Pelodiscus sinensis: one gene and its partner. The protein of the gene in region 2 interacts with the protein of the main gene of each other region in a pairwise test. Links are inferred from orthologs where the notes say so. Each region holds a gene or a part of one and is shown on either strand. Other genes may lie near its edges.

Region 1 (3,748 bases), on a different chromosome or scaffold from region 2:
CCAATATTATTAGCATTTAATTACTTTCAGATGTTTCATGGCCCTGAGTAGGCCCATAGCTAGCCAAAAGGAAATGGGAGGCTTTGGGGAGCTATCAGGAATCACCAAACTTAAATAGGAATGGGGGTGCGGAGGAGGAGAATGCGTCCTGAAGGGCATTCTCTGGAAATTTTAAAAATACAATGTACAGTTAGAGTAGATTTTAAGACACTTGTATATAATCATTTTATATATTAAATTAACATGTTTACTGTGTATATATCTGGTATTCTTTACCTGAATAACTTGCCAATTGGCAAATGATATTATATTAAATTACCCATAAATGCCACACACACAAAGCCAAGCACTAAATGCCCTTTCACATTTCCCAGGCCCAAACACAGACATATAAAGAAGCAGCCTCACGTCTCTGTAACCCATGCTATATGGTTAATATCTCCATTCCCACTGCTCCCTTTCTATATTTTGAAGTCTCTCTCTCTTTACTTCTCTCTCCCTCACTTTCTTTTCTCCATGATTCCAAATTTCTCTCTCCTTCACCATTCCCTTCTACTTCTCCTAATCCCTGAAATCCACAACTTCTTTTCCCAAATCCACAGTCTCCCTGTCCCTACTTTCCCCTTTTTCTATGCAATTAATCTCTTTACTTATTTTCTCCATTCTCACATAACACAATCCATTCTTTCCTTCCAACTCTTTTCCCCCCGGCACAAGAATATATATTTTAAGATCCACCCCACTTTGCTCACCTACAGCTGTCCATCATTAACTCTCATAAATTCATCAGTTCTGAATCTCATTCTCTTTATAATCTGTGCTCCCTCTCCTGCAGTCCTTTCTCCAACTCCATGTTTCCTTTGAAGGTTCACTTATTGTGCAACCTTCCTCCAATTTCCTTTCAGTGCCTTGCCCAAAGGAAATGTTGGCCTCACTCACTCTTCAGTGCTGAGTCTGCATGAAATTCAGATAATTTGCCTATGCTAAAGTAGGCCTACACTGAGTGTGTGTGCATGTGTATTTAATAACCTCCTTTCTAAGGTGACAGGCTTTAGGATTACAAATTAAACATGGAAAATTAGCTTTGTAGACTTAACATTGTCACGTCACATGGAACTTCACTAATGACCGAGTAATCCATGTCACAGTATTACTGAATTTAGCAAATTAAGTAGTAAATGAGCAAACAGGGTTAAAAAAATCAAGGAAAATACATCACAGAATGCATTTGTTTGGTTGACCATTGTAGTTTTAATAATAGTATACAATGAAGTATCAGTGTTCCATAGTGAATGTTGTGAAAGTAACAGAGACCCACACCAGAGGCTTCTGTTAAATCAGTGATCTCCAACCTTTCAAGGTTGCCGGGTGCCAGGGGGCGGGGCCGTTCGCCCGCCGGGCGCCAGGGGGCGGGGACACTTGCGCCCTGGGGGCGGCCCCCCCCATAGCCGCATGCCCGGGGCGCCCCCCCATAGCTGCATGCCCGGGGCCGGCGCTCCCCCCGCCCAGCGCCGCGCGCCCGGGGCCGGCGCTCCCCCCGCCCAGTGCCGCGCGCCCGGGGCCGGTGCTCCCCCCGCCCTGCGCCGCGCGCCCGGGGCCGGCGCTCCCCCTGCCCTGCGCCCGGTGCCAGGCCAGCCCCGAGCACCTGGCAGGCGCATGGAAATGCCCCCGCGGGCGCCATTGCGCCCGTGGGCACCGTGTTGGGGACCACGGTGTTAAATGATTGCTGAAAAACAGGGAGAAATTGCTGGGTATTCTGATCTCACAATGTAAATGAAAACAACTTCACGGAAGTCAATGGAGTTAAACTGATGTAAAAAACAACAAGCAATATCAGAATCTAGTCCAATGTGTGCAAATGATGGGGTGCGAGGATTAGTGAAGTGTGATTTAGTGAACTTCTACTACAGTTCTAACCTAAGAAGCAAACTATTTCAAAAAGCTAACATCATGGGTTTGTTACCTAGATGTGTTTTCCCAGAAATGGATCTATGTTTCAAAATCCCTGGCCAAAGAAACCTGAAGTGACTGCCAGCTTTTGTCTGAACCTGTCCCCAAAAGTCCATCCAGCACCCCTATGCCCTTTACCCAGGGGTGGGCAATAATTTTTGACAGGGGGCCACACCAAGATTTTGGAAAGTGGTCAAGGAACGCACTCTTCCATGATATTAATGGAGATGAGGGGTCTGGAATGGAGATTGGGTGCAGAAGGGAGCTTGGGTAAGGGACTGGGGTGCAGCAAGAAGACTGGAGTCTGGGAGGGAGTTTGGGCGAAGGAGATGGTTGTGACCTAGGGCAGGGGACTAGAGTGCAGGGGTTTGGGATGTGACCTAAGGTAGGAGGGGATTGTGATCTGGGGCAGGAGATTGCGGTGCCAGATCTGGAAGGGGGTATGGGTGTAAGAGGGGAACAGAGGGTTTGGGTATGTTGAGTGGGGGGGGGAGGGGCAGAGATTTTGGGCAGGAAAGGGCTGGGTTGCCAGAAGCAGGCTGTGGCCAACAGACTTACTTGTCAGCTGCCAAACTTGCCTGCCTGCCTGCAGAGCTTAAAATGTTTCCCAGTCAGCCAGCCTGCCTGCCTGGCCATGACCTTCATGAATAACTGAGCCCAAGAGAGGGGTGTGATTCTTCTTAGTTGCCTGTTAGTCTAACAAGCAGCTCCCATTAGCCAGTTTCTGCCAAAAACTGGCCAAGGGGAATGTGCTGGGGGCAGTGCAGCTCCTAAAACTTCCCTTCTCCCCTCCAGGTTCAAAACAAAAATGGAGCCCTGCAGCCACTTTTCTGCACAGCGCACGGGAATGCGGGGCAAGCTCATGAGCCTGCCTGGGGCTCCCCGCTGCCTCCGCGGGTCAGATCCAGTGGCTTGGAGGAAGGGATCTGGCCCATGGGCTGTATTTTGCCCAGGCCTGCCTTTACTCCTACATAAGATCTCACTTTTCCTTTTGCTGTTCCCGCCGGAAAACCATTGTATTCACACAAACAGCGTTTGCCCCTTGCTTCCTGCAATCTCACAAATGATTAACTTGTCTTCATTTTTAAAGCTGAGGAAGAAAGTTAGTTTTTCAAAGATGGACTCAGCATAGGAGACATTGTAACCCTCATTAATGCTATAAGTGGAAATGGAGAAAGAGTGGCAAGCTTATCCCAGGAGGTTGTATATGTGGAATTAGAACAGAGTGTGATCCTGGTGACTTTACCAACTTTACATGGCCCTTCATCAGACCTGTTCACCTTTCCACCATAAAGCGTTGTTAACCATAACTGTGACTGGGGTGCATGGATGGGCCACATTGAAAATACCACGCTTAGGGCAGACTATAAGAAATGGGGTACACAATCCCCAAAACTAGTGGGTTTATTCTATAACTAGCTCCACCAAAGCCAAACACAGTGTTCTTTAGGCATTCCAGCCCTTGGCTCCCATCTAAACAACCAAGTCTAACATAGTGAGAGGTTACTGGAAATCCTGTTAACCATACATAAAGTTCTGCCAGTCCCAAAGGATCAGACACTTCAAGTTCAACAGCAAACCCAGATCTTCTCTAAAATCACACTGTTAGCTAATCCTTAATAAATAAATCTAAGAATTATTAATAAAGGGAAAAAAGAAGAGTTACAAATGGTTAAAAAATCAATATACATATGAATAAGTGTAAAGTCCTTATCTAGTTTCATAGCAGAGACAATGAGGCTGCTGATTTGTAAAAGGCTCTCTGAAATCAATTCAAAGGGTTACAATGTAACTGGCA
Region 2 (3,748 bases):
GTGCTCATCTAAAAATGCAGCGGGATGCATTGAATGCATCATGATGTTCTTGTAGTGAATATAGTTGTGAGGTTTTAATACACAGAGAGTTTAATATTCTTTCAGCTGTTCAGAAAACTGAGACATGAAAGTCCATTTGGGATTAGAATTCCATGTTTGCAGGATTGCACCTTTTAGCAGCCGTGACAGCTAATGAACTGTTTTTCCTGGTTCCCTTTGTACTTATAATAGTTACAATATGTGGATTCAGCGTCCCTTGTTTGAAGGCTCCAACCCCCTCCCGGCTCAGGCACTGTGAATCTTGTACTGAGCCAAATTCAGCTCTGCTGTAAACCCCTTTACATGGGAGTCTTCACTTTAGCTCCTTGATCTCAGGCCTTCTGCGCGCAGGGGGGACCCTAGGAATGGCCATGCAGGATCCAAGCAAGCCCCAGTCCTGTTACTAGTTTGCTGGGAGGTCTTGGGCTATTTACTTCAGCTCCTTGTATCTCACCTTCCTCTTCTGAACATGATGGTACTGACCAAGACCTGCTTCATAGGTGGGCAGCTGTGTGTAGTTAGATTGTATGCCTCCCAGCATTTCCAGTGGCCAAAGTGGGACATGTTTGGCCCCTGGGGGTGGAAGGCGTGTGTGTGTGTGTGTCATCCGCTGCCCCAGTGGGTCTGTCCTGGATTCACCTCTCAGCAGCTGTCCTGTGGGCCTGGCTGTGCCCAGCTCCCTACGCAGCACTGAAACCCTGGGCACCAGGGACCAGGTTGCAATGCCCAGAATGGGGACCAAGCCCAGCCAGCCCTTTGGGACAGGAGCTTTTTCAGCAAAGAGATGGGAGTTTCACGGGTCAAAGCAGGGACTATAGGGAGAGATGTGACTATTCAGTGTTTTGAACATACAAGGTGCTGTCTAAGGGTTAATCTCTCTGCAGTCTCGTCTGTAGCACAAAGCTGGCAGTGATGTAACTAAATCAAACTTAGGCGTATTCAGAAACAGAATTATTATTATTATTCAGCTTGGGTGGTGCAGACCACCACCCTCCTTGTGCTAGGTCCTGTACAAGCACATGGACAACAGACAATCCCCGCTCTATGGAGTTTATCTTCTTGGTTTTCTTGATTTGATTTGATAATTTACCAACCTAAATTAAATCAGCTTCAGCCAGGCATGGGGGGGGGGGAGGGGGGGGCTGAATCTATCTGATTGGTACGGCTGGGACTAGATTGATTTTAAATAGATTAAACAAGGAAGAGTCTTGTGAAGCCTTAAAGACTAACAGCTGTATCTGAACATACACTTTTGTGGCTAAAAATCACGGTCAGGCATCGAAGTGGTTTTTACCAACCCAAGTTTGGTTCGTCTCTAAGATGCCACAGGACTCCTCCTTGTTTTGACAGACAGACTAGCAGGGCTGCCCCCTCTGGGACTGAAATAAATTGAGTGACGGGGGCGAGGGGGGCGCTTTTCTGTTGCAGACCAGCCCTGCCTCTGGCTGTGCGCAGGCGGCTGTGTGTTTCTGCCATTTCGAGCTCCCTGCCGCTGGAGGGGCTGGTTTTCAAGAGCTGCCGCCAGGTTTCGCAGGGAGCCGAGCTCTCCCATGGAAGGGCCTGACTCCCTCCAGGGCCCTGCTTCCGAGGGTGCCGCAGCCGGGAGGGCGAGATCCTGACAGCGGCGCTTTGGAGAGCCGCGCGCTCCACCTCCCCGGCGTGGCGCTGTGTAGCTCTCGCCTCCCTTCCCCGCCCCCTGCCGGAGTGTCAGCGCGGCTCCGGCTGCCCTTCCCCTGCCAGTCCAGCGCCTGGCTTTGCCGGCTCCCGGCGCAGCAGCGCGGCTCCCCGGCGTGGGTGGGAGCGGGCTGCCCGGGGCTTGACAAACCCGCTGCGCGCAGCCAGGAGCGCGGACGCCGCGGCGGCTGGGGAGCGAGGCAGAGCCGCGCCGCGCCGGGTCCGCATGGGGGGCTCGCGTCCCGGCGCCTTCCCATGGTGAACCGAGCGCGGGCGGAGCGGCGCCATGCCGAGGCGGGCAGCCCGGAGAACATGTTCGAGAGCTCGCGGCGGACGAGGAGCCTCTGGGACGGCGTGAGGCTGGAGGTGGCCGGCGAGAGCAGCAGCCCCGTGGTGCTGCACAGCTTCACCCAGCTCGACCCCGACCTGCCGCCGCTGGAGGTGAGGCGGCGCCGGAACCTGGCCCCGGGCGAGCCTCAGGGTGCGTGGGTGGGTGAACATCACTGGTGCAGTGAGCTGCTGGGTCTCAGCGGAGCTGTCTGGCGGAGCCGCTGAGTCTAGAGCGGGCATCGCTTTGCCAAGGTCCAAATGTGCTGGGCAAGGTATAGCCAAGGGCCAGACACAATAAAAACAACCCCCCTCGGCCCCCCAGTAATTGTAAGTCAATCAAAAGATTTCGGGGTCTGTTCGAAAGCACATGGTGGTGGGGCTGTGGCCCGCCTGCCTCTTGATTAGGCTGGTTTGGACAGTGTGAGCCCCTGCCCCACAATTTGTGTGCAGGCTTCGTGTTTCATTCTTCTCTAAGCGACCCCCTCTTTATGGAGGTCAGATTCCCCTTGGATTTGGTGCTTTTGGGTTGTTGACATATGGCTAAAACACTGGGAGGAAGGGGGGGTCTTAGCTGATTTATGTTGCAGGTGATCATTGAGTGTGTGGTGTCATTTTACTCACTGTAACCACGGGGCATGGGCATGCTGCCTTTTCTCAGCATAGGGTCCCCCAGGCTGGTTTGCAGGTGGTAGGAGTTTGTACGGTCTCTGCCCAACAGGTTTCTGATGCTGGTTTATGTTGTGCATCTGATGCCCAGAAGCTGAGCCCTGGCATGGACCGGGAAACTGAAGCATATGGTGCAGGCTGCTCCGGAAGGAGAGGAGCACAGTCGAAAATATTCTGGCAGTTCTTTTTGCTTTTATGTCAGAATGGTAAATAGCTGCCCTCTGTGATCTCTTTACTCCCCTCTTATGCCATTATCTTTCTGGCAGGCTTGCTGCCAAGCTGGAATATCTATTAGGAGAAAGCAGAGAGATGCGCGCCATCTGATGCAGCTAGCAGAAGGGAGCAGAGAGCTAGAACCAGGGCCTTTTAAATATTTTATTTGAGAGTCTGGCATCCTGCTGGAGGCTTGCTGTACCGTCTGCTCAGACTCTAGCTGCCTGTGAAGGCTTCGGGCCTGCCCAAGTTGCAAAAAAAGGACCCAAGCAATATCCTCCCCCGCTGTGGGGATTGGCTTGTAAGACACTCAATGGAGGATGAAAAACAGCCATACTCTAAGTCTAAGGCACGACCCTGGATCTTTCTAGGACGCACTGGCCCTCTGTGGCTCTTGCTGGCTTCAGATCACGGGTTTGCTGGTTGGAATTGCGGCTGTCCTTCTAGGGGGATGAGTGGCACACAAAGCAGCCTGCTTTTTGCCAGCAAGGAGTTGGGAAAACGTGGGGAACCCTAATCGAATGAGCAGTTCAGGGAAGGGAGATTGCATAGCCCAGCATAGCATAAGTAAGGGAACATGAGGTGCTCAGGTCAATGTTGGAGACCCACAAAGCATCTCTTGGTATGTCTCAGCAAGCCAGGTCTATACCCATCTACTGCTTCTCAGTTCTCTGGGTCAAAAAGAGCATTGTGCCCTTCACCTGCTAGGATAGTGACTTTGGTGCAAGGTGGTGTATGTGTTCAGGAAACTTCCACCCATCCCTGGATAACTAATGCTGCGTTTCACAGCTGGCTCGTTCGTTTTGTCTGGTTCTGTCCATTGGTT

The links. The genes of interacting proteins can lie anywhere in the genome.
Region 1: the proteins of RALGDS (region 2) and KRAS interact in a two-hybrid assay, tested with the Homo sapiens proteins (3 studies listed by BioGRID and IntAct). The link is inferred for Pelodiscus sinensis from reciprocal best matches to the Homo sapiens genes RALGDS and KRAS.

The regions. Positions count from the first base shown.
Region 1 is NC_134711.1:118,850,379-118,854,126, forward strand, and holds the start of KRAS (GTPase KRas), read right to left. Parts: upstream 2,841-3,748; 5' UTR 2,833-2,840; intron 1-2,832. UniProt on the Homo sapiens protein: Ras proteins bind GDP/GTP and possess intrinsic GTPase activity. Plays an important role in the regulation of cell proliferation.
Region 2 is NC_134732.1:15,952,623-15,956,370, reverse strand, and holds the start of RALGDS (ral guanine nucleotide dissociation stimulator), read left to right. Parts: upstream 1-1,454; 5' UTR 1,455-1,968; coding exon 1,969-2,154; intron 2,155-3,748. UniProt on the Homo sapiens protein: Functions as a guanine nucleotide exchange factor (GEF) activating either RalA or RalB GTPases and plays an important role in intracellular transport. Interacts and acts as an effector molecule for R-Ras, H-Ras, K-Ras, and Rap.